3 linked regions of the Saccharomyces cerevisiae S288C genome follow. The gene in region 1 interacts genetically with each later gene. Each region holds a gene or a part of one and is shown on either strand. Other genes may lie near its edges. The genes, in order: KRE6, DSN1 and KEG1.

Region 1 (11,641 bases):
TTGGTTTGATTGATTTTACTGCTTTTACAGCTGCAATCAGGTGAATTCGTTTCTTCGATCTCGGAGGTTCTAAACTACGCATATTCTTAGTATTCCATGTGTCTCGTGATACCTTAATTTCAGTTTCATTATCTTCTAATGATCTTTTCTTACTGTTGATAGTAGTATAGGCATTAGAGTCACCAATACCACCCAAACTGGAATTAGTTTGACGAGAATTGATCGGTGGAAGTTCTTTAAAGGAGTCTGATAATTCGGTAGGAGGTTCTGGAGGCGGATCGGGAAGTGGGAGATCAGCGATAATAGATTCCTCGGTATTCTGTTCAGAAACAGTAGTTGGCGTTTTGATAGGAACAATATTGTGCGATGAATTATTTTCCGGTGGAGAAGCATCGATTGAAGGTGAACGGTGTATAATCCTTTTCTCAGTCTCCTGGTCGCTTATCTGCGGAACAGTTTTGTTGTTGGTACCACCCGTACTGGATATTGGTACGTTTGTATGATTAGTCTCATTGTTACTGTACGAGTCTGAGTGTCTGAAATCTTTAGATTTACTGGCGTGCGACGACTCATGTGTGTTAGATTGGGACATGGGAGCAAGTAAAGGAACATTTAATTTATGCATACCACCCGAACCGGTACTCTCGATATTGGAAATTTGGGGGGTGCTAGATCTCTTCTTTGATGGAAGAATATTAGATTCAGATATGTTGGGGTCAACTTCTCTGGGTGCACGAAGATTGATTTCAGATATAGGTTTTGAATCTTCAGTATGAGTTGACGGAGGTGTGGAATCGGTTGGACTCACAGCTTTTGAAAGGACATTTCTCGGTTGCTCAGGATGTAGTTCAATGTCAGATTGGAAGTCATGGTCAGATTCTATGTTAAGATCATTGGATTCTTGGATCTCATTTGACGCAATGAACGAATGATATGAAGCAGTTAAACGGTTTAAGTCTTCATCGAAAGTGAGTGCGTCGTAATTGAATTGATCTAATCTGGATTCCTTGCCCTGAAGAATAACATAGTTAGTTGTATCTACTGTCTTCTTTAAGGATGGAAGATAGATGATATATCCATAAGAGTTTCGAGACGGATGTAGAGCGTAACCTGGGATGCCACGAGGATGTATTTTGGAGTTAGGGTTGTGATCATTGACGATAACAGGTTGACCGAAAGGTAACAAAGTACTGATATCAAGTCCTGCCAAGCCAGCATGTTGGCTTGCAGATTTTTTGCTTTTAGGTGAAGCTAGTGAATTTCTCACAATAGTAGAAAATTCGATTGCAGAGAACCATAAATGGTTCGGTAAACCACTACATTGCAGTTGAGTACGGCAGTCATCTAATAAGGTACGGTTGAGCCGTTCAGCGACTCCATGTGCTCGGGAATCCGCTGTGGTTGTATAGCATGGAGTTATACCATTTTTTTCAAGGAATTTATGGAGAGTTCTGTTAGTATACTCAGAACCACGGTCCATTTGTATAACCAAGACACTGGCCTGAAATTGGTTTTTAATGAAAGCTAGTATCGTGGTAAATACATCGAGGATAGAGTCCTCGCGACGGTCGTGCAATGGATAAACCCAACGGAATTTTGTTGTCTCATCAGTAAATGAGATGAAATAGGATGGTGCACTTTTTGGTAGGTTGTGAACTGGACCAAATATGTCAGTATGTAGGTATTGAAAGGGTTCGTATGAATTTTGGTATTTTAGTCGTGAACCTTTGATATGTCTGTGTTTGGTGCTTTTGCCGATTAAACAATCAGGACATTGATAGTCAATAGCACTAGACCAGTCGACATCTGATTCGTTAAAATACGTGATGGTGTTATTTTTAAGTGAGTATCGAATTGTCTGTGCATTGGCATGCGCAAGCATTCGATGAATGAAAGGATAAGGATATTTGCGTGTACTTTCACTTGTATGGACATTATTGATGGTGGGTACGGAGATATTTGATGGAAGCAAGTACCTTTTAGATACCCAGTAAAAGTCTCCATATTGTACGATAGGTGCAAGTACAGTGCCGTCAGATCGTTCTAAGACGTTTTTGGTAAAGCATGCTGTGATATCTACTGCAGCCAATTCATTCAAACTGAGTAAGTCATAGGCTATGTTAGGAGTGTGCAATACCTTTATTGATGTTTTGGTGTTGTCCTGGAAGTGAAATTGTAGGTCACCAATAGCGTTAATTGGTATATTTCTTTTTTGAGCATCAACTACGTTTATGTCAGGATTAGATGATGCTGAGTGTATGTGATGAGCAGATCTTATAAGGGTTCGTGATGCTCCTGAATCGAGAAGGAGGTGTCCAGGGAGTTCATCATCAGAATGATTAGTGTGATTTACCGTAGATTCAGTAAGTTCCTGGCCTAAGGTGAAGGTCGTGCTTATTGTTCAATTGAATCGGTTCAGTAGTTGATTTACTGATGGAATCGTTGTCCGTGCTGGGAGAGTTATTAGATGTGGATACATTGTGAGCCCTGGCTGTTTTCGATTTCGAATTATTTGTTTTTTGAGGATTCCGAGCTATAACTTTGGGTTTGGTTGTATTCGTATAGCTGCGAGAATCATTCTTCTCATCACTCAGATTTCTCCTGTAATTAGGTTTGCTGTTTCTCGATCCCTGTTGTTCTTCATAAATAGCATGGATATCTAAGAACAGTTCAGCGACTGTCATATTTAGATGTCGATGACGTGTGTAGCGTAAAAATTTATATTCGCCAGATAGACCTCTCATAATTAATTGGCATGCGACCTTGTTATTGATATGAATGCCATTATTGTTCAGTCTGTCGATAATGTTTGTGACTTTTGTTTCAAATGCATCTGCAGGTGTACTGCCATTATATTGCAAATTTGCCAGGGTCACAATGTCGTTTGCCTCTTGGGTATCAGATTGCATTTTTTCAATACTTTTGGAAAGAATTTTCATGATATCCGTATAATCAACGGATAGGATGTCTTTGACCCAGGTAGGTAGGAATTGAGAGGGAGCAAATATTTGAAAAGTGTTATACAAGAAGGTGAGTTCATCATCAGTGATCTGACGTACGGGTTTTCCGTTTACTGTCGGAATAATACCACCGAGATTCGAGTTTTGTAAAAATTTGATGTATGTTTTAACCCAATTTGGAAAGTCATTAGGTGAGGTTAACATTGGTGGTGGTCTGACATATTTTTTAGTGGATGTCATATCAGAGTCTGCTGAGGATGAATCAGTAAATGTATTACCTGACTCAGGTGATGGAGTGCTCAGAGGCGTTCCAACTGATGATGGATACTGCGGAAACTGTGATTGTGGCCCAGGTGGAAAGTACATAGGCGACATTTGATAAGGTGTATACGGAATCATAGATGGGTGTCCGTAAAATGACCAACCAGATGGATTGGCTTGGTTTTGGGTCATCATGCACTGCTGTGGGTACGGCCCATTCTGTGGAGGTGGTACTGAAGCAGGTTGAGGAGAGGCATGATGGGGGTTCTCTGGAACAGCTGATGAAGCAGGTGTTGTTGTCTGTTGAGAGTTAGCCTTAGTAGAAGCCTTCTCACATTCTTCTGTTTTGGAAGCTGAAACGTCTAACGGATCTTGATTTGTGTGGACTTCCTTAGAAGTAACCGAAGCACAGGCGCTACCATGAGAAATGGGTGAATAATTAGATAATTGTTGGGATTCCATTGTTGATAAAGGCTATAATATTAGGTATACAGAATATACTAGAAGTTCTCCTCGAGGATATAGGAATCCTCAAAATGGAATCTATATTTCTACATACTAATATTACGATTATTCCTCATTCCGTTTTATATGTTTATATTCATTGATCCTATTACATTATCAATCCTTGCGTTTCAGCTTCCTCTAACATCGATGACAGCTTCTCATAACTTATGTCATCATCTTAACACCGTATATGATAATATATTGATAATATAACTATTAGTTGATAGACGATAGTGGATTTTTATTCCAACACAAAATGAGATATGTCAGTATGACAATACGTCATCCTGAACGTTCATAAAACACATATGAAACAACCTTATAACAAAACGAACAACATGAGACAAAACCCGTCCTTCCCTAGCTGAACTACCCAAAAGTATAAATGCCTGAACAATTAGTTTAGATCCGAGATTCCGCGCTTCCACCACTTAGTATGATTCATATTTTATATAATATATAAGATAAGTAACATTCCGTGAATTAATCTGATAAACTGTTTTGACAACTGGTTACTTCCCTAAGACTGTTTATATTAGGATTGTCAAGACACTCCGGTATTACTCGAGCCCGTAATACAACAATTTACAACAAGATTCGGGCGTGTGGCGTAGTCGGTAGCGCGCTCCCTTAGCATGGGAGAGGTCTCCGGTTCGATTCCGGACTCGTCCATTTTAATTTTTGATTATGGAATACAAAATGTATATTTCGTATAAAATTATCTTTATTGTTTTTGTGGCTTAGTGATTTTCATTCCCCTCTTTTCTTTTTCCTCTCAGCCTGCAAGTGTGACGCGATCTGAAAGGCGTTTTACCCGCAAAACGCCAAAGAATCATCCTGAAGCGGTAAATTCTAGACTTCAGATCACATACGCTCTATTTGGACAGTTTTTTTTTTTTTTTCATATTCCTGATCAGATGAAAGTTAACGCTATTTTTGGTGAAAACACAGAATAAAACAGCTTCTGATAAAATTTAACTAGGAACGTCGAAAACAACAACCGTTAAAATATTTTTAGCTTACAGAAGCACTTAAGAATCACTAACGTTTTCTTCTTTTTTTATTTTCAGTCCAAAGCTTTCGTATTGCTGCAAGTGCTCGAGAAAGCTGCATATTGTTATTGTATTCGTCCTCTCGTACTAGTGTTCATTACTTTATCGTCTATAAATATATTGTTGTTAGAATTTTTCTACTAAGGCAAGTTAGTAGTTGCACAACATTTCTCTCGTTAAATCATCTAAAGTTTACAGAATAGGTATACCACTCACTCCTTTACTCTAATGCCTTTGAGAAATCTAACTGAAACGCACAACTTTAGTAGCACAAACCTGGACACAGATGGTACAGGCGACGATCATGATGGTGCTCCTCTTTCCTCATCTCCTTCTTTTGGACAACAAAATGACAATAGCACCAACGATAATGCTGGTCTCACAAACCCTTTTATGGGGAGTGACGAAGAATCTAATGCGCGGGATGGAGAATCTCTGTCTTCTTCTGTTCATTATCAGCCACAGGGGAGTGACTCTTCACTACTTCATGACAATTCTCGTCTAGATCTAAGTCAAAATAAAGGTGTATCTGATTACAAAGGTTACTATTCCAGGAACAATAGTAGAGCTGTGAGTACGGCTAATGATAACTCATTTCTTCAGCCACCACATAGAGCTATAGCCTCTTCTCCTTCTTTGAATTCTAATTTATCGAAGAATGATATTCTCTCACCGCCAGAATTTGATAGATATCCCTTAGTGGGTTCCAGAGTCACTTCTATGACTCAACTGAACCATCATGGTCGCTCGCCAACATCATCTCCAGGAAACGAGTCGTCCGCCTCATTCTCTTCTAATCCGTTTTTGGGCGAGCAAGATTTTTCTCCATTTGGTGGGTATCCTGCTTCATCGTTCCCACTTATGATAGATGAAAAGGAAGAAGATGATTATTTACACAATCCTGACCCCGAAGAAGAGGCAAGACTGGATAGAAGGAGGTTCATAGATGACTTCAAGTACATGGATAAAAGGTCTGCTAGTGGGCTAGCTGGTGTATTGCTCTTGTTTCTGGCAGCCATCTTTATTTTTATTGTTTTGCCAGCGTTGACCTTTACCGGTGCTATTGATCACGAAAGCAACACTGAAGAAGTTACATATTTAACTCAATACCAATATCCTCAACTATCCGCCATTAGAACATCTCTGGTTGACCCAGACACACCTGATACAGCGAAGACAAGAGAAGCTATGGATGGCTCTAAGTGGGAATTAGTATTTTCTGATGAGTTTAATGCAGAAGGCAGAACATTTTATGATGGGGATGATCCATACTGGACAGCCCCTGATGTTCACTATGATGCTACTAAGGATTTAGAATGGTACAGTCCAGACGCTTCCACAACTGTGAACGGAACCTTGCAGCTGAGAATGGATGCCTTTAAGAACCATGGCTTATATTACAGATCAGGTATGTTGCAGAGTTGGAATAAGGTTTGTTTCACGCAGGGTGCTCTAGAAATCTCTGCAAATCTACCAAATTATGGCCGTGTTTCAGGTTTGTGGCCCGGTCTTTGGACTATGGGTAATTTAGGGAGGCCCGGTTATTTGGCTAGTACCCAAGGTGTCTGGCCTTATTCTTATGAATCGTGTGATGCTGGTATTACACCCAACCAAAGTTCCCCGGATGGTATTTCTTACTTGCCGGGACAAAAGTTAAGTATTTGTACTTGTGATGGTGAAGATCATCCGAATCAAGGTGTTGGTAGAGGAGCTCCAGAAATTGATGTTTTGGAAGGTGAAACTGATACTAAGATTGGTGTAGGTATAGCCTCTCAATCCTTGCAAATTGCACCTTTTGATATCTGGTACATGCCTGACTATGATTTTATCGAGGTTTACAATTTCACAACAACGACCATGAACACTTATGCTGGCGGTCCATTTCAACAAGCCGTATCTGCTGTCTCAACTTTGAACGTAACTTGGTATGAATTCGGTGAGTACGGTGGCTACTTTCAAAAATATGCCATTGAGTATCTGAACGATGACGACAATGGTTATATCCGTTGGTTTGTTGGTGATACTCCAACTTATACTATTCATGCTAAAGCCTTACATCCTGATGGTAATATTGGTTGGAGAAGAATCAGTAAAGAACCAATGTCGATTATTCTAAATCTGGGTATTTCCAACAATTGGGCTTATATTGATTGGCAGTATATTTTCTTCCCAGTGGTTATGTCGATTGACTATGTTAGAATATACCAACCAAGTAATGCTATATCCGTGACATGCGATCCAAGTGACTATCCAACATATGATTATATTCAATCGCACTTAAATGCATTCCAGAATGCAAACTTAACTACTTGGGAAGATGCTGGTTACACGTTCCCTAAGAATATCCTAACTGGTAAATGTACTAGCTCGAAGTTCAAGTTATCCTCTTAAGCGGGTATTTTGATGGTAAATCTACAAGCCCTCGGCTTTAATTATTACCATGGTCATAAAAAGTTACTTACAATGCATACATTTTTCTTTTAGGAAGAAATAAAATATAAAAGACTTATCGTTCAAATCGGGTCATAAAGGGAACTAAAGGTATACTAAGGTAAGACGGGGTTCTCATCTGCACGTAATTTTTTATTATTTTTAGTGAGGGAGAACTTTACCTCTAAGATTGTTTATATAGGTATACACATTTTTGTAAAACTGATTATTCGTTTTTTTTTTTGAAACAAGTTATTAGTACAAAAATCAAGCTCTCACTACTTACCAGTAGTTATTTTAGTAGAATATTATTAACTCTACCGAATAAGTACGATATGAGAAATTGCTGATTTACTTGTGTGTGTTCCTATTATTATCCAGGAGCGCCTCTAATCTATGCTTATAATTTTACGTTGAAAAAAAAGGAGTCTGTATAATTATTTCAAATTCATCCTTTTCTCACGGATATTGTGTACCCTATGAGGTAAATAATTGCGCTTTATTTTCTCCCTGTGTTTGCTCGCTCATCTTAAGACGAAAAAAGTAATGGAACACCTACCATCAATAGAAGTACCACACTCATGTAAATAACAAGCGCAAGTGGTTTAGTGGTAAAATCCAACGTTGCCATCGTTGGGCCCCCGGTTCGATTCCGGGCTTGCGCAGATTTTATTTTTTGCTCCCTTCTAAAGCTCTGGATGATTCACCAACTTATCCAAGGCAAGGTCCAACTACCGTTTCCTTCGATGAAAAAGACAATAGGTAGCTCTGTCAAACCCCGTGGAAACGCAAACTCATCGGGAGTGTCCTACTGCTTTCCACTAGTTATCCGACTAGCAAGGCAACTAGTCAAGATGAAACCGTCTCACGAACATTTGTATACGATCTCTTCTCCTGATAGACAATGAAATATACCCCGGTGCTTGTTTCCCACTAAGGAAAAAAGGCCGCTGCCCCACAGCGGGAAGGCCCTTCAAGGGGTAGCGGCATCGCCTAGTAGCACTGTGGGGGGAAGAATACAACGCTCAACGGAAGAGGAAGCTCTGCGAGATGCAGCCAGCACCTTCTATGTTTCAAGGATAACATTTTGAATTAACAAGGAACGCCTTCCCCAATTACCGTTATTGTATTTTTACTTTTTAGAGACTCTCGAGGAAATAAGTAAGGGGTGGATAATTTTCGCTAAAAAAGTTTCAGGGGAGGTTAATAACTACCATGTGCATGCTACAAAGATAAGGAAGGAACACCGACGAATATATTATATGTATAAAAGGAGCATGAAGTTTGTATAGCAGTAAAGCAAGATTCTTTGTGCCTTCCCGTTTCTTGTTGTACCTTTTGTTTTGATTACGTACGAAGTATTATAAGTTTTTTCTGCTTGCTATTGTAATATAAAGTAAGCACAGATTGAGAAGGTAACGATTACTAAAAATATCCAAAAGAAAAACAATTGGATCTTTTTTGACTTCTCTACATTACAATTTCAGTAAAGCAGCTTTCAACTTAATTTAATTTTGAACAATGCCGCCAGCTAGTACTAGTACTACCAATGATATGATAACCGAAGAACCTACTTCTCCACACCAAATCCCAAGGCTTACAAGGAGACTTACGGGGTTTCTTCCCCAAGAAATCAAGTCAATTGACACGATGATTCCTTTAAAGTCAAGAGCGTTATGGAATAAGCATCAAGTCAAAAAATTTAACAAGGCAGAAGATTTTCAAGATAGATTCATTGACCATGTGGAAACTACATTAGCACGTTCCCTATATAATTGTGATGACATGGCTGCTTATGAAGCTGCTTCGATGAGTATTCGTGACAATTTGGTCATTGACTGGAACAAAACTCAGCAGAAATTCACCACAAGAGACCCAAAGAGAGTTTACTATTTGTCTTTGGAGTTTTTGATGGGTAGGGCTTTGGATAATGCCCTGATTAATATGAAGATTGAAGATCCGGAAGACCCTGCTGCCTCAAAGGGAAAACCAAGAGAAATGATTAAAGGGGCTTTGGATGATTTAGGTTTCAAGTTAGAGGATGTCTTGGACCAAGAACCGGACGCAGGTTTAGGTAATGGTGGTCTAGGTCGTCTTGCAGCTTGCTTCGTCGACTCAATGGCAACGGAAGGCATCCCTGCCTGGGGTTATGGTCTACGTTATGAGTATGGTATCTTTGCTCAAAAGATTATTGACGGTTACCAGGTGGAAACTCCAGATTACTGGTTAAATTCTGGTAATCCATGGGAAATTGAACGTAACGAAGTGCAAATTCCTGTCACCTTTTATGGTTATGTTGATAGACCAGAAGGCGGTAAAACTACACTGAGTGCGTCACAATGGATCGGTGGGGAAAGAGTTCTTGCTGTCGCGTATGATTTCCCAGTTCCGGGTTTCAAGACTTCCAATGTAAATAACTTAAGACTATGGCAAGCAAGGCCAACAACAGAATTTGATTTTGCAAAATTCAATAATGGTGACTATAAAAACTCTGTGGCTCAGCAACAACGCGCAGAGTCTATAACCGCTGTGTTGTATCCAAACGATAACTTTGCTCAAGGTAAGGAGTTGAGGTTGAAACAGCAGTACTTCTGGTGTGCTGCATCCTTACACGACATCTTAAGAAGATTCAAAAAATCCAAGAGGCCATGGACTGAATTTCCTGACCAAGTGGCTATTCAGTTGAATGATACTCATCCAACTTTAGCCATCGTTGAATTACAGAGAGTTTTGGTCGATCTAGAAAAACTAGATTGGCACGAGGCTTGGGACATCGTGACCAAGACTTTTGCTTATACTAACCACACTGTTATGCAAGAGGCCCTGGAAAAATGGCCCGTCGGCCTCTTTGGCCATTTGCTACCCAGACATTTGGAAATTATATATGATATCAACTGGTTCTTCTTGCAAGATGTGGCCAAAAAATTCCCCAAGGATGTTGATCTTTTGTCTCGTATATCCATCATCGAAGAAAACTCTCCAGAAAGACAGATCAGAATGGCCTTTTTGGCTATTGTTGGTTCACACAAGGTTAATGGTGTTGCTGAATTGCACTCTGAATTAATCAAAACGACCATATTTAAAGATTTTGTCAAGTTCTATGGTCCATCAAAGTTTGTCAATGTCACTAACGGTATCACACCAAGGAGATGGTTGAAGCAAGCTAACCCTTCATTGGCTAAACTGATCAGTGAAACCCTTAACGATCCAACAGAGGAGTATTTGTTGGACATGGCCAAACTGACCCAGTTGGGAAAATATGTTGAAGATAAGGAGTTTTTGAAAAAATGGAACCAAGTCAAGCTTAATAATAAGATCAGATTAGTAGATTTAATCAAAAAGGAAAATGATGGAGTAGACATCATTAACAGAGAGTATTTGGACGACACCTTGTTTGATATGCAAGTTAAACGTATTCATGAATATAAGCGTCAACAGCTAAACGTCTTTGGTATTATATACCGTTACCTGGCAATGAAGAATATGCTGAAGAACGGTGCTTCGATCGAAGAAGTTGCCAAGAAATATCCACGCAAGGTTTCAATCTTTGGTGGTAAGAGTGCTCCTGGTTACTACATGGCTAAGCTGATCATAAAATTGATCAACTGTGTTGCTGACATTGTTAATAACGACGAGTCAATTGAGCATTTGTTGAAGGTTGTCTTTGTTGCTGATTATAATGTTTCTAAGGCTGAAATCATTATTCCAGCAAGTGACTTGAGTGAGCATATTTCTACTGCTGGTACTGAAGCGTCTGGTACTTCTAATATGAAGTTTGTTATGAACGGTGGTTTGATTATTGGTACTGTTGATGGTGCCAATGTGGAAATCACAAGGGAAATTGGTGAAGATAATGTCTTCTTGTTTGGTAACCTAAGTGAAAATGTCGAAGAATTGAGATACAACCATCAATACCATCCACAAGATTTACCATCTAGTTTGGATTCTGTTTTATCCTACATTGAAAGTGGACAATTTTCTCCAGAAAATCCAAATGAATTCAAACCTTTAGTCGACAGTATTAAGTACCACGGCGATTATTACCTGGTCAGTGATGACTTTGAATCCTATCTGGCCACCCATGAATTAGTGGACCAGGAGTTCCACAATCAAAGGTCAGAATGGTTAAAAAAGAGTGTCCTGAGCGTTGCAAACGTCGGCTTCTTTAGCAGTGATCGTTGTATCGAGGAATACTCCGATACCATTTGGAACGTTGAACCAGTGACTTAGCTGGGAGTTTTTTTTATCTCTTTGGCACCCTTCTCCCCATTTCTAGTAAGCGCTTTTTTCTCTTTACTTCTTCTCTTATATAAAACGCCTTTAAAATAATCGTTATCGGTTTTTTGGCACTCTTTTAAATGGTATATATGATGTTACAGGAAAACTTAGTTGTTTTCATATTGAAAATCCGCGCAGGATAACGCTTGTGTA
Region 2 (11,641 bases), on another chromosome or scaffold:
TGTCATCGGTTTGAAGGGTGCTGCTAGAATGATTAACAGATTTAGCAGATGGTGAAGAAAAAGAAGATTGCTCTTCATTTTTCGCAGAGTAAACCTTCCTACGATTTCTATAGTTCGGCAAAACATCATCATCATTATTTTTGTAGCTCAAGGCATCGATTTTACCAAACGAAGGTTTTTCTTTTGTGGTCGTTGGCTCTGTCTTTAATTGGTTCTTTAAGTTGTCTAAAAGTTTTGTGCTGGAGGGAATTAAACTTGAAGGTAGGACATTGGGGATTGGCTTCCCGTTTAATTTACCGTAAACCAAGTGCATACCTAGTGCAAATTCTTGTTTATTCAATTGGCCGGTGTTGTTTATATCACAAAGGTTCCAAATTTGCTCCAAATCTGCACGATTTAAGCCAGATTTTCTAAAAATCTCCACAGCAGTGGGGGAATCTAACAAACCTTTGTTTTGAGTATCAAAAGTTTCAAAAATTTTATAAAACAAAGATTTTTCCTCCGTGGAAATTTTGTCTTGACTTGAGTTATCAATTAAGTTATTATTAAAGTTGGATTTGGTATAAATTTCGTTATTACCAAATCCTGTCTTTTGGGCAGTCAACGGCATGGTAGCACTAAAGTTAGATGGTGGTAGAAAACCCGTTGGTTGGGGTTGCAACCCGGTTAACTGAGATTGTAATCCTTGTTGATTAAAGGACAAATTGGGCATACTTGCAGGACCGCTTTGCTGGGGCATAACGGAACCATATCCTCCGGTATACTGAGATTGCAAAGCACCGCCGGTCAACTGAGGTCCTAAATTAACGCCAAATGAAGTCTGTGGCATCATACCAGTTGTCTGTGGCATCATACCAGTTGTCTGTGGCATCATACCAGTTGTCTGAGGTTGCAAAGCATTGCCAGTAATGTTGGGTTGCATAGAGGCAGGTGCTCCTCCAGTAATTTGGGGGTTCAATCCGGGAGTTCCGGTATTCATTGACATGTTGAAAGTGGTTGGTGCCATAAATCCTGTGGATTGAGGATTCAACGCCGAGGCAACACCGCCTCCAGTAATTTGAGACTGTAATGGGATACCAAAACTAGTTTGAGGCATATATCCTGTTGGTTGAGGTTGCAAATTTTGTACGCCCGCTGTAATGAATTCATCAAAGGGAGTTTTTGGGGCATCGTTTGCGGAAGAATCCTGGTTTGCAATGCTTAAATTAATGGCGTCAATAAAACTTGAAACTTCGTTTTTTGTCTTAGAATCCAATTCGTAAGGGATAGTGTCACCTTGTAAGACATCATTGATCAAATGCATTGCTAATGCAAATTCAGGAAACAGTAACTCACCTGCTTTTGATGTATCACAAAGCGTCCAAATTCTTGCGAGTTGAGAAGGTGGCAAACCGGATCTCATCAAAATTTTCCTACAATTAGCACCGGAAACAGTATTCGAACCATTGGTAACAATTGATCTGAATAGAGTCTCAAATTTTGCCTGATCTTGGGCAGTAATAAACGACAATCTAATGGCAGGGATTTTGATATCATTGTTTAGACCGTTGTTGGCAAATGAGTTGACAAAGCCAGTTGCGGTGGGCTTTAATGGTTCTAAGGGAGCTTGGTTTTGCGGTTGAAGGTAAAATCCTGTTTGCTGCGGCTTCAAAGGTTGCAAGGACTGTGCTTGCTGAGGAGGTGGCACCTGTTGAGGTTGAGATTGATAATAACCAGTGCCCTGGGCCTGAAGGGGCTGCTGGGTTTGATTAGAAGAGATCAAATTGGGTGTAGACACATAATATCCTGTCCCTTGAGATTGCAAAGGTTGTACTGAGTGTACATTTGCAGTATTAGCAGCTTGGTAATAGCCTGTTCCTTGGGGTTGTATGGATTGTAGCTGAGGCTGTTGAGCCGGATTAGGTGGAGGCATGGTGCCAGTAGTATTCATCATAGGCATACTGGAATTTGGTACGTATCCCGTATGCTGCGGTTTCGCCTGCTGTTGTTGCTGCTGGGGTTGTTGGCCAAAATTACCATTACCATATACACTACCATTATTTCCATTATTATTGTAACCCGTTTGGGGCTGCTGTGGCATACTTGAGAAAGAATTACCAAAACTTTGAGGCATCCCACCAATTCCGGTAGCCTGAGGCTGGTTAAACGCCATTTGCTGTTGTGGTTGAGGCTGGCCTTGGGGCTGGTTTGAAGACTGACCTTGCTGCTGCTGCGGGTAGAATCCATTTGGTTGTTGCTGCTGTTGCTGCTGTTGCTGCTGGTAACCCATGCCCTGTTGCTGGTACGGGTTATACATATTCAGTTGTACAGATTAGCAATTTCGCGTCGCTGATAGATTCTTCCTCTTCCTGCTTCTCGACGTGTGTTTCGCCAATAGATCTATATGGCTTTCTAATGCTTTTTTTCTTCCAATACCAACTTTTGCCCCTAACAAGAAAAAAATATCGTCGACGTGTCATGTGATCAAGCCAATTTATAATAACAAGCGATTGATAAACAGAGTATACATAGCTACTATGCGACTGAGAGATCAATCGGTTATCGTGAGCACCTACCTTTAAGGTTTAACAGATCTGGACGTGATTTTTTTTTTTTTTTTTTGACGAACCAGATTGTCAAATAAACATTGTTAATTGATGAATTTTTAATATCTGCCCAATTGAAGCATAAAAAGCGTCTTAGGAAAGCATTCGTTAAATATCTCTACTGTTGGTAAGCAGGTACTTCAGTAAAAAACCATATTAAACCCAAAATTATCAAATTAGTAGTACATAAGATCGAAGTAGAAAAAATATAGATTATAATCCGATATAGTGTAACGGCTATCACATCACGCTTTCACCGTGGAGACCGGGGTTCGACTCCCCGTATCGGAGTATGTTTATTTTATTTTTTTCATATCCGCTCGAATATTGCCTTCGTTTAAGGTTTCTATATCTCTGGTAAACCTTAACAATGGAATTAATATTAATTCTATATTTCGCAATAATTCTACTGACAGTTATTTTCTTAACCTTTCTTCTCTTTTTTTATTTATTTATTTCTTTTTCTTTCGTACCTAAATTGTTTGAATTTAATAAGAACAGATCATATGCCTGCCAAAATACACATTTCTGCAGACGGTCAGTTTTGCGATAAAGATGGCAACGAGATCCAATTGCGTGGTGTCAATTTGGATCCGTCAGTTAAAATCCCTGCAAAGCCATTCCTATCCACCCACGCTCCCATAGAAAATGACACGTTTTTCGAGGATGCTGATAAAGTCAGTTTCATCAATCACCCCTTAGTTCTTGATGATATCGAACAGCATATCATCAGATTGAAATCACTGGGTTACAATACCATTCGTTTACCCTTCACCTGGGAATCTCTTGAACATGCTGGTCCAGGACAGTACGATTTTGACTATATGGATTATATCGTCGAGGTACTAACCAGGATTAACAGCGTACAACAAGGTATGTACATTTATTTGGACCCTCACCAAGACGTCTGGTCTAGGTTTAGCGGTGGATCTGGAGCACCGCTATGGACCTTATACTGTGCAGGGTTTCAACCTGCAAACTTCCTGGCCACCGATGCTGCAATCTTACATAATTATTATATTGACCCCAAAACGGGCAGGGAAGTTGGCAAAGATGAAGAGTCCTACCCTAAGATGGTTTGGCCTACAAACTACTTCAAACTGGCGTGTCAAACAATGTTTACGTTATTCTTTGGTGGGAAACAATATGCTCCTAAGTGCACAATTAATGGAGAAAACATACAGGATTACTTGCAAGGAAGGTTTAATGATGCAATCATGACACTGTGCGCAAGAATTAAAGAAAAGGCTCCTGAGTTGTTTGAGAGCAACTGCATTATTGGATTAGAGTCTATGAACGAGCCAAACTGTGGTTACATTGGTGAAACAAATCTCGATGTGATTCCGAAAGAGAGAAATTTGAAATTGGGCAAAACGCCAACGGCATTTCAAAGCTTTATGCTGGGTGAAGGTATTGAGTGCACAATAGATCAATATAAAAGGACATTTTTTGGATTTTCTAAGGGAAAACCGTGCACAATCAATCCCAAAGGCAAAAAAGCTTGGCTGAGTGCAGAGGAAAGAGATGCGATAGATGCGAAGTATAATTGGGAAAGGAACCCTGAATGGAAACCAGACACTTGCATTTGGAAACTCCATGGTGTTTGGGAGATTCAGAATGGTAAACGCCCTGTTTTACTCAAACCAAATTACTTTAGCCAACCTGATGCAACGGTATTTATAAACAATCATTTTGTTGACTATTACACTGGAATTTATAACAAGTTTAGGGAATTCGATCAAGAATTGTTTATTATAATCCAACCGCCGGTAATGAAGCCACCACCCAATTTACAAAATTCTAAAATATTGGACAATAGGACGATTTGTGCATGTCATTTTTATGATGGTATGACACTAATGTATAAGACATGGAATAAACGAATTGGCATAGACACCTATGGACTAGTAAACAAAAAATACTCAAATCCTGCCTTTGCTGTAGTGCTTGGCGAAAACAATATACGGAAATGCATTAGGAAGCAATTATCAGAAATGCAAAAGGACGCTAAATCCATGCTTGGAAAAAAAGTACCTGTATTCTTCACCGAAATTGGTATTCCATTTGACATGGACGACAAGAAAGCATATATTACAAATGACTATTCTTCACAGACCGCTGCATTGGATGCTCTTGGATTTGCATTAGAAGGAAGTAATCTTTCGTACACCTTATGGTGTTATTGCAGTATTAATTCACATATATGGGGTGACAATTGGAACAATGAAGATTTTTCGATTTGGTCCCCGGATGACAAACCACTCTATCACGATACCCGAGCAAAAACTCCTACTCCTGAGCCATCTCCAGCCTCTACTGTGGCTTCGGTATCCACTTCTACATCTAAATCGGGTTCTTCACAACCACCAAGTTTCATAAAACCAGATAATCATTTAGATTTGGATAGTCCCTCGTGCACTTTAAAGAGCGACTTGTCAGGGTTCAGAGCTCTTGATGCTATAATGAGACCATTCCCCATACAAATTCACGGAAGATTTGAGTTTGCTGAGTTTAACTTATGTAATAAATCCTACCTTTTGAAATTAGTTGGTAAAACGACACCTGAACAGATAACTGTCCCTACATATATTTTTATACCACGGCACCATTTTACACCAAGCCGGTTGTCAATTCGTTCATCATCAGGTCATTATACCTATAACACTGACTACCAGGTTCTTGAATGGTTTCACGAGCCTGGCCATCAGTTCATTGAAATTTGCGCAAAATCGAAGTCAAGGCCCAACACCCCTGGAAGTGACACTTCGAATGACTTACCAGCGGAATGCGTTATCAGCTAAACAAAAATTGAACCAAAAGCTATAGTAGTCATATATATATATATACACCCTTTTTATTGTTACAAAAAGATTTCACCATCAGAAATCTAAAGAAGCCGGTTCATCATCATCTTCACGTTCTCTTTTCACTGAACCCAGTTCATTTTTCAAAAGAGAACTCACATATGCTTGGAACTGATTGATAAAAGGTTGTAAAGCTGTTAATGAAACATCATTATTTTTCTCCATTTCTGTTTGAAGATCAATTAGCTTAGGTGCTTTTTCAGGTGCAAAGGATTCATCAATAGGCACACAGACATTCCCCGTAGCAGGATGAATACAAAAAGGGGCCTTTAACAAATGAATTGTTTGCTTTGTAACTTCCACATCCAGCTTCGGATAAAGAGTCATCAATACGAGATCTTCCTTACATTCACGTAACTTAATTATGTGAGAGTCTTGCTTGGGGCCTTTGAAGAGCGATGTAGCTATCTGATCTATATCATTCCACTTCTCTTTGCTTGACCTCCTTGGATTGTCCAGCCAATACTTCTTTAATGAATCAATCAATTGTTTATCATATAATGCAGGCAATAAAGTTTGGATAGCATGTTGGTCATCTTCCCAAGGATTTTGCTCTTCGAGCATAATGCTGACAAAGAAAGGTTTCAATTGCTCCAAAGAACGAGCAAGATGAGGGTGATAAGGCCTCTTCAAAGCCAATCGCTTGTCAGTATTTCTGTCTCTAATCACGTTGACATAATCTAAAACGTTTCTTCGTTGTACATCCGTCAAAGCCCGTGCCCGTTTGTCGCTTACCCAACAATGAGCACCACGTCTACCTGAAAATACCCAGATGAAGTCCTTATAACCAAAATCCTCTCTTAGGGCCGTGTTCGTAATTTTCATTGCCAAAGATATAAATTTCCAGCACTTAGAGCAAACTTGGGCTCCGGAGCAACACGTTCTGAAGGCATCGTAATCATCCATATCAATATCAAACACCAACTCCTTCTCTAAAGCTTTCAATTCGCTTTTTAATAGAGTATCACGTTCTCTTGGCGGTTTGTTATATATGGCACCGATTTCAAATCTGTCTGGGTTGGCTTTTTCTATTTGTGCTTTGAAATCTTGCACAGAGTTAAAAGAATTATACCTTTTGTAAGCACCTGACCTGAACGCCATAGCGAATTCTCTGTTAATCATATCCCTAGAAGGTTTGGGCGAATGATTCAGCCAGTTGAAAATGTGTTTGAATGGATAGAGCGACTTATAGTAGTACTCCATGTCTGAGGAGCTTGGCCCATTAGTCTTTACTGAATTGGTCATGATGTTTATAAAACAGTTTTTTGAGTTGCTAAAACTAATTTTTGCTAGTATTATGGCACGCTTTTCTCTTCAGCTTCAAAGTATTTTTGATTAATTTTTTATCTTTTTGGCGTTATGAAACTTTTCAACTGAAAGAAAACAATAGGTAAAAGTGGCAAAGGGCACTGACCGAGCAACTGTTTCGAAACTCACGCATCATTCACACGTAGGATATAGTAATGGTTGAACCAGCAAGGAAAAAGCAGAGGATTGATCGCGATACTCATCACACTGTGGCTGAACCAGTAACGGAAGCTAAAAATACGCTGTACGTGAGCCAGCTTAATGAAAAAATTAATATGCAACGACTGCGAGTAAACCTTTTTTTGCTCTTTGCTACGTTTGGAGAGGTACTGAAGGTTAGCATGAATTTCAAGAAACAGCGGGGCCAAGCCTTTATCACCATGAGAACCATCGACCAGGCCAGTCTGGCCCAGATTTCATTAAACGGCGAGCGATTCTTTGGTAAGCCTTTGAAAGTTGAGTTCAGCAAGAGTGAAACTAAAACACTATGACTGGCTTAACGCTCTATTCATAGCAGCACGTATATACCGAGAAGAGCTGCCATAGGGGCACATCAAAGTCAAGAGCGCAGAACCAAACCAAAATGTTTATATCCAAACAACCCGGCGTTATAGATGGTCGTCAACGGACAAATAATATCAAGGCATGTATCAATATGGAGTAGATATAGAATCTACAAAAATCTGTAGCAGAAAGAGTCTCCCGAAAAGACATACTGCAGAACGGCCGCTTATTCCTCACTTCAATTGCTTAAATAATACAAAGGGCAAACCACAGAGTACCCCATTGCCAAAAGACGTTTATTACATTTTGGAAGTGATAATTTAGTATATAAGACAGCTTACTATATGATGAATTACAGTGTAGTTCAGCGTTTATATGTGGCTTCGTTTAAAATGATATATATTTCTAGTAAAAGCAAAAATTCACAAATGATAAACAAATCAAAATAAACATCAAAAGAACCGCCAATTGATAAAAGCACAAAGTACCAGGCAGAGTTGTGAAACCGGGCCTCTTCTATTGTACCACACACAAATTTTTCTTTATTTAGGTAGAGGATGAGTCTGGAACCCACACAAACGGTCTCCGGTACGCCGCCGATGCTGCATCAAAGAACACACAAACAAGTATACCCATTGCGGATGGAAACTATCCCAATATTGGAATCCGACTCCAAGGCTACTCTACAAAGCAACGAGCCCACCCAGAAAGATGAGGAGGAGACCGAATATTTTGAGAATAAACAATCCGTGTCGAATTTGAGCCCCGATTTGAAATTCAAACGACACAAGAATAAACATATCCAGGGGTTCCCTACTCTGGGCGAAAGGCTGGATAACCTGCAAGATATAAAAAAGGCCAAGAGAGTGGAGAATTTCAATTCTTCTGCGCCAATTGCTGACGACAATCATAGTGGAGATGCGACTGCAAATGCGACTGCAAATGCGACTGCAAATGCGACTGCGAATGTTAATGCAAGTGCAATGCCCGCTCCATATATGCCTTATTACTATTACTACCATCCGATGAATGCACCAACTCCTGCAATGATACCATATCCTGGATCACCAATGCATTCGATTATGCCCAACTCCTCATTACAGCCCTTTTATTCGCAACCCACTGCTGCAGGCGGTCCCGATATGACTACTCCCCAAAATATATCTTCATCACAACAATTGCTGCCAGCTCCGCAATTGTTTCCGTACGGATCATTCCATCAACAACAACTTCAGCAACCACACTACATTCAACGAACAAGGGAAAGGAAAAAATCAATCGGAAGTCAGAGAGGTAGAAGATTGTCTATGTTAGCATCTCAAGCTAATGGGGGAAGCACTATTATATCTCCGCACAAGGATATTCCTGAAGAGGATTTTTACACCGTGGTTGGAAATGCGTCTTTTGGTAAAAATTTACAAATACGACAGCTTTTCAACTGGTGTTTAATGAGATCTCTGCATAAATTGGAGTTGAAGGCTAAAAACCAAGAGGAAGAAGGGGAACTTGAACATCTGACCAAAAAATCCAAGCTCGAATCAACAAAGGCAGAAACTGATTATGTGGATCCCAAACGTCTGGCTATGGTGATAATAAAAGAGTTTGTCGATGATCTTAAAAAAGATCATATTGCGATAGATTGGGAAGATGAGGAAAAATATGAGGATGAAGATGAGGAGAAGATTCTGGATAATACTGAAAACTACGATGACACGGAACTGCGACAACTGTTTCAGGAAAACGACGACGACGACGACGACGACGATGAGGTGGACTACTCGGAAATACAGAGGTCTAGACGTAAATTTAGTGAAAGGAGAAAAGCCCTACCGAAAGAACCAAAAAAACTATTACCTAATAGCAAAAACGTGGAAAACACAAAGAATCTTAGCATTTTAACGAGCAAGGTGAACGCGATCAAAAATGAAGTGAAAGAATGGGCAGTCACTTTAGACACTTCGAGACCAGATCTTGAATGGCAAGAATTGACTTCATTCTCATCACAACCACTGGAACCGTTGTCGGATACAGAAGAGCCAGACCTTGCGATTGCAGATGTTGAGACAAAGTTAGAAACAAAAGTCGATGAGCTAAGGTACCAGTCGCATATATTAAACTCGCACTCACTAGCCTTAAACGAAATAACAAATTCAAAAGTGAATAAATTGAACATAGAAACAATGAGAAAGATCTCAAGCGAAACGGACGATGACCACTCACAAGTGATTAATCCTCAACAGCTGTTGAAGGGATTAAGTTTATCTTTCAGTAAAAAACTGGATTTATGAAATAAAAGAAAAAATCAAAAAAAAATCGGATACTTCTGCATATGTAACATTACACAGTCATACATTTATATATACATATATATACATATTAATGTATTTGAAAAAGCAAAAGAACCATTCTATCCTTAGTTAAAGGGCGAATCAGTAGCAGCGCTACCACTATTGTTATTGTTTTCGTTTGCTGTCATGGTATCGTGGTGGTAAATAATACTTTCTTGAAGTGATAATGTTGATGACGATGCTGCTGAAGGGCTACCCATATCTAAAGATTTGAACAGCTGGAGTGGGCGTTCCAATAACCCATTTGAATGTTCATTGTATACCTGTAATCTTGTCATATGACTTTTCCAGACGGAGCTATTATCTGCTAATAAAATTATCCTGTCACGGGCAACATGTTCAATAAGCGTACACCATACGTGAGACAATTGTTCAATGCATTTATCGTAGTAGTAATTATTACTAGCTAATTCAAATCTGGGCAATTTGATAACTAATTCCGTGCAAATGTCTAAGAATTTTAATGATGCGTGCAAATTTTCCAAACGTGGTGGAATGTTATCCAGTATGAAATCCACCAAACAGTTTAAGAACTCCAGAATTTGAGGTTTCATTCTCACGAAAGCATAGTCATCTAATTTATTACTCTCATAAGACCTATTGTAAGGTATGCTCTGGTAAACGGCTTCTGATTTTTGTTTCAACATGTCCAGACACTTTTGTATACTGAAGTCTAATCCGATGACTCTCGTATGTACGCTTTGTTGTATTTCTGGATGTTTTGTCATCAAATCCACCAACAACTGCTGTAATTGGTTCTTGTTCATTAGTTCCATGCCTCGTTGCAAGGGCAGAGGCTGCCCTCTGATGAGCGATCCTGGCTGAGGCCTCCTCTTGGAGACGCCCCCATATTTCATCACATTCTTGTTACGAGGTAGTTCTTCCTCTTCTTGCTCCTCGTTGGCATACCGCCTTTTTTGTTTCACTCCAGCAGTTGGAATCATTACATTGCCTGTGCCTTGTGAACTGACTGTACTCTGTGTTATTTTACTGCTGGGTTTAAAACCCCATTCAAACCCCATCATAATGCTATACTGTCCTGTGTTTGTTGCTTTTGCCAGGTACCTTCGAACACACTAAGTGAGAATACTTGGTTAAGTATATTTTTAAGTAAGAAATTCCCACTCGCCGCATTATCACCCGCCCGCCGTTTCTTTTTCTGGCAAAATTTTCACTATGAATAACTAAAGAGATACATTCGATGGGCTTTAGATGAGGCCTTTTGAAGACCAAAACAGCACCAAATAGCGACACATTAAGCGTAATGGAACCTCAAGAAGAGTTTATAACTACCGAAGAAGTTGAGCAGGAGATTGTGCCCACTGTGGAGGTCGAACAAGACGTTCCCGTTGATATTGAAGGAGAGAATGACGACGATGATGAAATGATGAATGATGATGAGGAAGCTTTGGAGGTCGACATGTCCAACAACTCGCTTACCTATTTCGATAAGCACACAGACTCCGTGTTTGCCATTGGCCATCATCCTAACCTGCCGCTAGTATGTACCGGTGGGGGTGATAACTTGGCACATCTTTGGACATCACATTCACAGCCACCCAAGTTTGCTGGCACTCTAACCGGTTATGGCGAATCTGTGATTTCATGTTCTTTCACTTCTGAAGGGGGCTTCTTGGTCACTGCCGATATGTCGGGGAAGGTTCTTGTACACATGGGTCAAAAAGGTGGCGCTCAGTGGAAGTTGGCATCGCAAATGCAAGAAGTCGAAGAGATTGTTTGGCTGAAAACTCATCCCACTATAGCAAGGACGTTTGCGTTTGGTGCAACTGATGGATCTGTTTGGTGCTACCAGATTAATGAGCAGGATGGTTCTTTGGAACAGTTAATGTCTGGTTTTGTACACCAGCAAGATTGCTCTATGGGTGAATTCATTAACACCGACAAGGGTGAAAATACGCTGGAATTAGTCACTTGTTCTTTGGATAGCACTATTGTGGCATGGAATTGCTTCACTGGCCAACAATTATTTAAGATCACACAGGCAGAAATCAAGGGATTAGAAGCTCCATGG
Region 3 (10,133 bases), on another chromosome or scaffold:
TGGATTCAGAGGACAATAAACATGGCAAAGGCGACAATGACACTGCCCCCATATGGTTACAAGATGATGTGCATTCAGACGAAGATATTCAGCTGGACTCAGAGGACGATTCCGATACAGAAGCTGTTCAAGCCCAAGTGGTGGATAAATTGGCAAAAGACACGAAATCAGAGCAAAAATCCTTGGATGATGAGCTCTCCGAGATGGATACCAAGACGGTTTCTTTAAAACTTAAGAAACTAAACGAGTTTGTGAGGCAGAGTCAGGTATATTCCAGTATAATCGCCGATACTTTACTACATCGATCTAATGAAGTGGCTAACGCTAATACAAAAGATAACAGCAACTCTGATGATGAAGAACATTCTTCAAAAAAACGTAAAACAAAAAAAAAATCAATAACAGATTTCTTCAAAAAACAGAAAAAGAACGAAGATACAACCACCCAAAACGGCGCACCAGACGATGCAGCAATAAAGCAACCTCGCCTATTGAAAAACTGTATTTTAAAACCTTACCAACTAGAAGGTCTTAACTGGCTGATCACTCTTTATGAAAATGGCCTGAACGGAATTCTTGCCGATGAAATGGGTCTTGGTAAGACTGTTCAAAGTATTGCTCTTTTGGCGTTCATATATGAAATGGACACAAAGGGTCCTTTTCTAGTGACTGCACCATTAAGCACCCTAGATAATTGGATGAACGAATTTGCAAAATTCGCTCCTGATCTACCAGTTCTAAAATATTATGGGACCAATGGTTATAAGGAACGTTCTGCCAAGTTGAAAAATTTCTTTAAACAACACGGCGGCACGGGGATCGTCATCACATCATATGAAATTATTTTAAGAGATACCGACTTAATCATGAGTCAAAATTGGAAATTTTTAATTGTTGATGAAGGCCACCGTCTGAAAAATATAAACTGTAGATTGATTAAAGAGTTAAAAAAAATCAATACTTCCAATAGACTGCTACTAACAGGGACGCCTTTACAAAATAACCTAGCTGAATTATGGTCACTTTTGAATTTCATAATGCCCGATATCTTTGCCGATTTCGAGATATTCAATAAATGGTTTGACTTCGACAGCTTAAATTTAGGCTCCGGTTCCAACTCTGAAGCATTGAATAAGTTAATCAACGATGAACTACAGAAAAATTTGATTTCCAATTTACACACAATTCTGAAACCATTCCTTTTGAGAAGATTGAAAAAAGTTGTTTTGGCTAATATTCTGCCGCCAAAGAGAGAATATATCATAAATTGTCCGATGACGTCTGCACAGGAAAAATTCTATAAGGCTGGATTGAATGGAAAGTTGAAAAAAACCATGTTCAAAGAATTAATCAAGGATTTTTTCACATTGAACGATGAATACATCGGCCACGTTTCTAATCGGTCCATACGAGATTTCATCAATTATAAACTATCTGGTAATGAAACTTCAAATACAGACAATAAAATCAATCCAACCTTGTTGCAAATGGACAAACTATATAAGAAGAACCTGCAAATGGAAATTTCAAATAAGAAATTGCAAAATATGATGATGCAATTGAGACAAATCATTGACTCAACTTTTTTGTTTTATTTCCCATATTTACACCCAGAAGACTTGACTTTGGAAACTCTTTTAAAGACGTCTGGGAAATTACAAATCTTACAAAAATTAATCCCCCCATTAATATCTGAGGGGCACAAAGTGCTTATTTATTCTCAGTTTGTTAACATGCTCGATTTGATCGAAGATTGGTGTGATTTAAATTCGTTCGCGACATTTCGAATTGATGGTTCAGTAAACAATGAAACAAGAAAGGATCAACTCGAGAAGTTTAATAGCTCGAAAGATAAGCATAACATTTTCCTATTGTCCACAAGGGCGGCAGGACTGGGTATTAATCTAGTCGGGGCAGATACAGTTGTCTTGTTTGATAGTGATTGGAATCCACAGGTGGATTTACAAGCCATGGACAGGTGTCACCGTATTGGCCAAGAATCACCGGTTATAGTATATAGGTTGTGTTGTGATAACACCATTGAACATGTTATATTGACCAGAGCGGCCAATAAGCGAAATTTGGAAAGAATGGTTATCCAGATGGGAAAATTCAATAACCTGAAAAAATTGGCGTTAAATGAAGGTTCTTTTTTGAAGGCAAACAAAGCGGGTGTTAATGTCACTAATAAGGACTTAGTCCAGGAGTTATCTATGCTTTTAATGAGCGATGAATCCAATATAGGCTTTGAAAATGGGGGACAGAAAGAAAATAAGGCTACTGAGGGCCAACTGACTGATAAGGAGGTTGAAGAATTGACCAACAGATCTCTTGAAGCGTACAAGGCCAACAGAGTCGTAGATCTGCCGCACGTCAAGCTATTTGAAACAACCTCCGGTCTTTAACTTGGTTATCATACAATATTGTTTTTATTAAATGTTTGTATATATGTACATATACATACCTATATATTGATCAATGTTCTTGCCGTACAAATTCTTCCTCTAGTTGTTCCTTTAGTTCACGGTTTTTGAATAAAGTATCCGCAGTATTCATTCGTTGCAGAAAGGTATCTTGAATATTATTTTTTGTGTTCTGGAAATCAGCTTTTAGTTTAGTAATCCATTCCAGTATCAAAGTCATATCCAGATCATGTTTTACCAGACGGTTCCTCTCAGAAATAACTTTCTTTTTCAATTCCATGAAACGGAGCCAGTTGGAATGATTCTCTTCTATATAGGCAGGATCGTATTGATCTTCCAAATGGAGACCTCTGACGTCCATATATGCCATTCTTTGCGACCATTGACTTATCATTACATCGCCCCACTCTTCGTACACTTCGACGTTTTCAAGACGAATCGATTCTGCCAGTTTAGCCATTTCGGTAAGAAAAGAATCTAATGAATGAAACAGTGATTTTTCAAAGTCTAACAAATGTATTTTATAATTCTTCAGTATCGATGTGATAGATGATTTGGTAATGTAAGCTTCCAGTTCAACTTGACCCGATTCATCAAAATACTTTATTTTATTTTGCACAGGATCGAATTTAGAGGTACAATTAATATCTTTGATTTTTGAATCTAGAAACACTAATTGCTCATTAACGGTAGTGTTAAGGTCATCAAGATTCCTAGTGATTTCTATAGATTTATTTTGCACCTCGGCCTCGAACACAGACTGTATCTCTGAATCCAAAAGTGCCATCGCACTGTGTATTTTCGAATCTATAGCCTTAATCCATGCTTCATATTCCATTTTTAATGATTCTGCCTCGTAAGTTTCCAATTCTGCATGGCTATTGGAACCAATGATAATCTTTGACAAATCCTGCAAAATAGCAGCAGTGACGAGTTGTGAGTTCCCGTGGCCATCCTGTACTCCATCGAACTCGTATTCTTTATTTTCATCCTCAATTCCGACATCATCCTCATCCTCATCTTCATCCTCATCCTCATTTTCATTCTCATCATCCTCATAATCCTCTGTTTCCGAGTCTGTCTCAAAAATGGGTTTGGTGAGCGTGCCATCAGCGCTAAAGGAGCCGTATTTCATCCAATCCGTAGAGGAGTTAAATGGATTCTCTAGTACATTCTTCACATTGTCTGTATATGGCTTTAAATAGTACCAGGCAATCCTTAGATGATTTAATAAAGGTCCCAACTTGGAATGTAGCGAACAGCAGAGCTCATTTAGCCTTAGAAAAGAGAAAATATTGTACCAAAAGCGGTAAAAATATCCCATAATTCTCTTCAAGGATGAGTTGGGGTATCTTTCAATCAGTGGTTTTATCGATTGTGAGTACTTTCCAACTAAATAGTCAGAAACCGCTGAACCTTCAACCAATTTAGAATCGAATAGTGAGCCAACTGAAAATTCAGTATGCCGGCAAATGGGCTGTAAATCTGTGGCAAAGCTTCCCAGACCATTTTGCTGACAGACCAGATACCTTGCAATAAACACGCAAGCCAGCAAAGCAGTCGTTACTTTGAAAACGGCCTTCATGATTTTTAGTAAAGAACTAACCACCTTTTTCTTAGTTAAGAAAAGGTCAATCAGTAACAGAAATATGATAGTAGCAACACCCAAAAAAATGCTATCTTCCAATAGTCAAAAAGGAAGCCTCGATGCCATACAAGTCTCTTCTAAAGTACTATTATGTAATTCCTGTTAAATGATACCTGTATTGTGGCTTAAAAGGGCCGAAATGACAACAAAATGAGTAGGGTTAATTTAATTTTTAAAGAGGGCATTTATCTAAAAAATGAAAGACAACTATAGGGCTGGTAATTATAGAATAGGTCTTAGTAGGGTTATCCCTTCCTCTAGAAAAAAAGAAAGAAAAATAATTTTAAGTGGCCAATTAGAACCAAAACCAACAGTATCGTGGTATCATACGCTCCAAAGCAACTAGAAGAAAGGCCTTATTTGACCATTGGATTCAGTATTTTTTCTCCAAGTAGCGGTTAAAAGACTGAGAGACTAAAGCTAGATAGTGGGTTTGAGTGACTATCCCCTTTTTTCCTCCTCTTTTTTTATTATTTTGATTTTATTTCATTTTGATTTTATTTCAACACGATTAAGACACAAGCGTTACTTCCCTAGACTATAGTCTCTGCCGTTCCCATTCTATTGATTTTTGGAGCAGCAGTTTTTACAAAAGAAAAGAAAAAAAAGACGAAAACAACAAGCCAGAGTAAAGATGTCGTTTTGGCCATTTGGACAGAATCTTAATCACTCTAATATTAATAAGATCCTAGATGAATATTTTCATGTGCTACACGAACTGGAAAGGATTAACCCAAGCGTTGGTAAAGCCATTCCCGCTATTTTCAACAACGTTCAGGAACGAGGTACAAGTGACTCCCTAGATTCTATTCCGGAGGAGTATAGTCATGGTGATGAAGTGAAAACGGCACGTGGAGATCAGAAGAGTCGATTTGAGAAGGATGATCAGCAAGAACGGTATGAGAAAGAGGAAGAGGAACGGAGCATGAACTCTAGCGAATCTTCCACTACATCTTTTTCTTCTGGGTCAACTTCTAAAACTGATTTAGATGAGGAGGATATCAGCAATGCTACTGCTCCCATGATGGTCACCACAAAGAATTTGGATAACTCTTTTATTGAAAGAATGCTTGTAGAGACAGAGCTACTGAACGAATTATCGAGACAAAACAAGACGCTACTTGACTTCATTTGCTTTGGATTTTTCTTTGATAAGAAAACTAATAAGAAAGTGAATAATATGGAATATCTGGTCGACCAACTGATGGAATGTATCTCGAAGATTAAAACCGCCACCACAGTGGATTTGAATAACCTGATAGATTATCAAGAACAGCAACAGCTTGATGATAGCTCACAAGAGGACGTTTATGTGGAATCTGATACGGAGCAAGAAGAGGAGAAAGAGGACGATAATAACAGCAATAACAAGAAGAGACGAAAACGCGGAAGCTCCTCGTTTGGTAACGATGATATCAACAACAATGACGACGACGACGATGCGAATGAGGACGATGAATCTGCTTATTTGACAAAGGCCACCATAATATCTGAAATCTTTTCCTTAGACATATGGTTGATTAGCGAGTCATTAGTTAAAAACCAATCATACTTAAACAAGATTTGGTCTATCATCAACCAGCCAAATTTCAATTCTGAAAACTCTCCCTTGGTACCCATATTCTTAAAGATTAACCAAAATCTGTTGTTAACCAGGCAGGATCAATATTTAAATTTTATTCGAACGGAGAGAAGCTTTGTTGATGATATGTTAAAGCATGTTGATATTTCCCTATTGATGGATTTTTTCTTGAAAATAATATCCACAGATAAGATTGAATCACCCACGGGAATAATTGAATTAGTATATGATCAAAACTTGATCAGCAAATGCTTAAGCTTTCTAAATAACAAAGAGTCCCCAGCTGACATCCAAGCATGCGTGGGTGATTTCTTAAAGGCTCTGATTGCCATTTCTGCTAATGCACCCTTGGATGATATTTCCATTGGTCCAAACTCCTTGACGAGACAGCTAGCATCTCCCGAATCCATTGCAAAGCTAGTCGATATCATGATCAACCAAAGAGGTGCCGCATTAAATACCACAGTTTCGATTGTCATTGAGCTGATAAGGAAAAACAATTCAGACTACGATCAAGTTAATCTTTTAACCACTACTATAAAGACTCATCCACCTTCAAATAGAGATCCAATATATTTAGGCTATCTACTTCGGAAATTTTCAAACCATTTGTCCGATTTTTTCCAAATCATTCTAGATATTGAAAATGACGCCAACATCCCATTACATGAAAATCAGTTGCACGAAAAATTTAAACCTTTAGGATTTGAAAGATTCAAAGTGGTGGAATTAATCGCCGAGTTACTGCATTGCTCTAATATGGGATTAATGAATTCCAAAAGGGCAGAAAGAATAGCCAGAAGAAGAGATAAAGTAAGGAGCCAGTTATCCCATCATTTACAAGATGCATTAAACGATCTGAGTATCGAAGAAAAGGAGCAACTTAAAACGAAGCACTCTCCAACACGTGACACTGATCACGACCTAAAAAATAACAACGGTAAAATAGATAACGACAATAATGATAATGATGATGAAAGTGACTATGGCGACGAAATAGACGAGAGCTTCGAAATTCCATACATCAATATGAAGCAAAACATAAAACTTAGGACCGACCCCACGGTCGGGGACCTATTCAAAATCAAACTATATGATACGCGAATTGTTTCCAAAATAATGGAACTATTCTTAACACATCCTTGGAACAATTTTTGGCATAATGTTATATTCGACATAATTCAGCAAATCTTCAATGGAAGAATGGATTTTTCCTATAATTCCTTCCTTGTTTTGTCTCTGTTTAACTTAAAGAGCTCCTATCAATTTATGACTGATATCGTCATATCAGATGAAAAAGGAACGGATGTTTCCCGATTTTCTCCCGTTATTAGAGACCCAAATTTTGATTTCAAAATAACTACAGACTTCATATTAAGGGGCTACCAGGATTCATATAAATTTTATGAGCTAAGGAAAATGAATTTGGGATATATGGGCCATATTGTCTTGATTGCCGAAGAAGTGGTCAAATTTTCTAAATTGTACAAAGTGGAACTAATATCTCCCGATATTCAAGTAATTTTACAAACCGAAGAATGGCAATACTACTCCGAAGAAGTCTTAAACGAAACAAGAATGATGTACTCTAAAATTCTTGGCGGTGGAAGTTATATTGATGATGGAAATGGTAACATCATTCCGCAGCTGCCTGACAATACTACTGTATTAACTCCAAATGGTGATGCAAGTAATAATAATGAAATCCTTGATTCAGATACCGGGAGTAGTAATGGAACAAGTGGTGGCGGCCAATTAATCAATGTTGAGTCTCTAGAAGAACAGTTGTCCTTATCTACAGAATCTGATTTACACAACAAGTTAAGGGAAATGTTAATCAATAGGGCTCAAGAAGACGTTGATAATAAGAACACGGAAAATGGGGTTTTCATACTGGGGCCGCCGGAGGACAAGAACAGTAATAGTAACATTAACAATACCAACCATAATAGTAATAATAGTAATAACAACGATAATAACGATAATAATGATAATGACAATGATAATACTCGTAATTATAATGAAGATGCTGATAATGATAATGATTATGATCATGAATGATACATTGTTTTGTACTTTTCTTTAATTTGTATATATATATATTAATTTATATGTATAAGTACCATGTAGTTTTCTATTCATTCATTCATTCATCATGATAATATTACTTCTTACGTATCATTTACGTGAATAGATCACTTTACCGTTAGGCAATTCCATTTTCTTTTGGCCTTTCTTTGCAGAACCCTTTTTTACTTTGTTCCCCTTTTTTGTTTGGTTACCATCATACTTTTTACTATCCGTTATTATTTCTTCTTTTCCTGCGCTACCAACAGATTTGCCAAACGTCATGTTCCAAACCGAAGCAGGTATTCTCCAAAACAAACAGTTCTTTACTGAAGGTTTATCCAAGGTATCTGGCGAAATTAGTGTTTCACTTCCATCAGGCTCTACAACATAGACATCGCTAAACCTTACAACCAAACTTTTACCCTCATCCTTTTCATGTTGTTTAAACGTTAGTTGTTTTACGCCTAGTCCATTGGTATCATCCTGTTGTTTACACTGACTGATGAAGTTTTCAATTCTTGATCTTTGAGAACGATATTGAATAATAGAAATGATATACTGCCCAATATTAACGACTATCCAAATAAAGGCCAGCAGGAACCAAGTCTTAGGCTTCATTCTGGAAAAATAAAAACCACCCTTATGGAAATCATAGTTTGGAAAGCCATTCTGTAGATAATAATCATAAATCTTACGATTAGAGCTGTTTGAAAGAATTTGAGTAGCGAGGTTTAACCTTTCATACAATTTACGGTATTTAGGGTTCTTATCCGGATGGTACTTCTTGGATAGCTTTCTTAAGTTTTTTGTAATCTCCTTTGTACTAGAATTCTGCAGTTTAGGTAACTTCAAGAACTTGTAGAAGTTCATATCTGGGCCATATTTCGTACTTATTTCATTTTGTAATTGGAAAATTTCTGTTTCAATGGTGGTAAAAGCATATGATAGAGATACCAATCCCAGGACAACCAACGCAGGTTTCCAGTAACCGTTCATTCTTTTAGTGATCTTGTAACCTTGATTTTTTGTTCGTTTTCTATTCTTTTGGTACGTGTTATTTTGAAAATCTCATTTTTTTCGTGATTATTAATTTTGAATATGGAAATTAAATATGATTTACCTTCAAATTGGGAAATAATGTAAATACAACGTCAATAAAAGTATTTGTTCGGTCACATATATTTAACTAGCATTGAGGATGGCAGGTATCAAGTTGACGCATAAGCTTTATCAGTATTATCAATTAGCCACAAGCTTTTTGTATGCTGCATTATTGATACGGTGGCTGATATTAATGCCACTGGTAGGGTCTCGGTTTTTACCGGGAGGAATCCACGAATTCTTGATATATTTGATGTTTTATTCCAGCATCATGGAAGTTATTTGGTTGCTTAGATTCCACGGGTTCAAATATGGTTTGCTTTCAAGAACGTTTTTGAAAGACCTAAATTTTATCTATTTAGTCAGCGTGATCCATTTTTATGACGATTATGAGCATGCATTGATCCTCAAGAATGCATCATATTCTAGTTTCATTATTTCCTTATCTTTATCACAGGCATATTGCCATTGGTGCAAACTTTTTAAACGTAAGGGCGTAAAGGAAAGAACACTTGTATGGAAGGTTAACACATTTGTTACATTGCCAATTCTCTACCTGAGTGAATTTGCATTGCTACTATTAAATATCCAGGTTAAGAACTATCATTCTACCCCGACTTTGGACATAATCAACAGGGTGGTTTTACTAGCATACTTCCCTGTACTACTAACAGCATACAAAAAACTATTAACAAAATGAGCAATCTTATTGGTTTAATACATATGTATACACATATACATATCTGTACATACTCATAAATATCTGGATAGTTCGTCAGCCATTTCATTTGCAAAAGCATCAGCTTCACTACTATTCTCGATAGACTTATATTTTAGCCTTGCACTTTGCAAATTCCTAATTATTTGTTCGAGGGGCATTTCATTAGGAATTTCCTCCCTTATTTTAGTAGCCGGTTGAACTTCACAATTTAACCAGTCGTGGGTATCTATAATCTCCTGGATCCTATCAAGCCCCAATTTTTCTCCATAGTCGTTATGATTAACAGTTGGTTTTGACCTTTTCCAGTTTACGAATTCGATGACGTTTGTAAAGGCATTGCTCCATATCTCATTCAGTTCATCAATTTCATCTTGCTCGACTTCTTCGTTCACATTGGCCAACACAACAAAAGTATTTCGATGGGCAGCTATCATGAATTGGTGCAGCAGTTCTTGAGGTTTTGTTTGCCGGATGTCCGTTATTAAGATAATTCCTGCCATGACATTTCTAAGCGGTTCACATTCAGGCGTTATAAATTCTTCCACCCATACTGGTATCTCTTTGCAAGAGTCAATATAAAGATCAAAA

Evidence for each region.
Region 2: of KRE6 (region 1) and DSN1, a mutation in one rescues a mutant of the other (synthetic rescue), as found in Saccharomyces cerevisiae (one study listed by BioGRID).
Region 3: mutations in KRE6 (region 1) and KEG1 are lethal when combined (synthetic lethality), as found in Saccharomyces cerevisiae (one study listed by BioGRID).

What each region holds. Positions count from the first base shown.
Region 1 is NC_001148.4:852,575-864,215, forward strand, and holds KRE6 (beta-glucan synthesis-associated protein KRE6), read left to right. Parts: upstream 1-5,008; coding exon 5,009-7,171; downstream 7,172-11,641. Other genes in the region: YPR158C-C (gag protein), read right to left, coding at 2,361-3,683; YPR159C-A (uncharacterized protein), read right to left, coding at 7,740-7,841; GPH1 (glycogen phosphorylase), read left to right, coding at 8,732-11,440. UniProt on the Saccharomyces cerevisiae protein: Involved in the synthesis of (1->6)- and (1->3)-beta-D-glucan polymers of the yeast cell wall in vivo. It is required for full activity of beta-glucan synthase in vitro.
Region 2 is NC_001141.2:367,613-379,253, forward strand, and holds DSN1 (MIND complex subunit DSN1), read left to right. Parts: upstream 1-7,818; coding exon 7,819-9,549; downstream 9,550-11,641. Other genes in the region: actin cytoskeleton-regulatory complex protein PAN1, read right to left, coding at 1-2,296; EGH1 (hydrolase), read left to right, coding at 3,092-5,386; DNA primase subunit PRI1, read right to left, coding at 5,465-6,694; U2 snRNP complex subunit MSL1, read left to right, coding at 6,913-7,248; STS1 (Sts1p), read right to left, coding at 9,675-10,634; SQT1 (Sqt1p), read left to right, coding at 10,874-11,641. UniProt on the Saccharomyces cerevisiae protein: Acts as an essential component of the kinetochore MIND complex, which is required for the spindle checkpoint and kinetochore integrity.
Region 3 is NC_001138.5:229,537-239,669, forward strand, and holds KEG1 (Keg1p), read left to right. Parts: upstream 1-8,921; coding exon 8,922-9,524; downstream 9,525-10,133. Other genes in the region: IRC5 (putative ATPase), read left to right, coding at 1-2,405; OSW7 (Osw7p), read right to left, coding at 2,476-4,008; SAP155 (Sap155p), read left to right, coding at 4,706-7,714; ERJ5 (Erj5p), read right to left, coding at 7,832-8,719; IRC6 (Irc6p), read right to left, coding at 9,578-10,133. UniProt on the Saccharomyces cerevisiae protein: Involved in the biosynthesis of (1->6)-beta-D-glucan polymers of the cell wall. Required for viability. Involved in maintaining chromosome stability.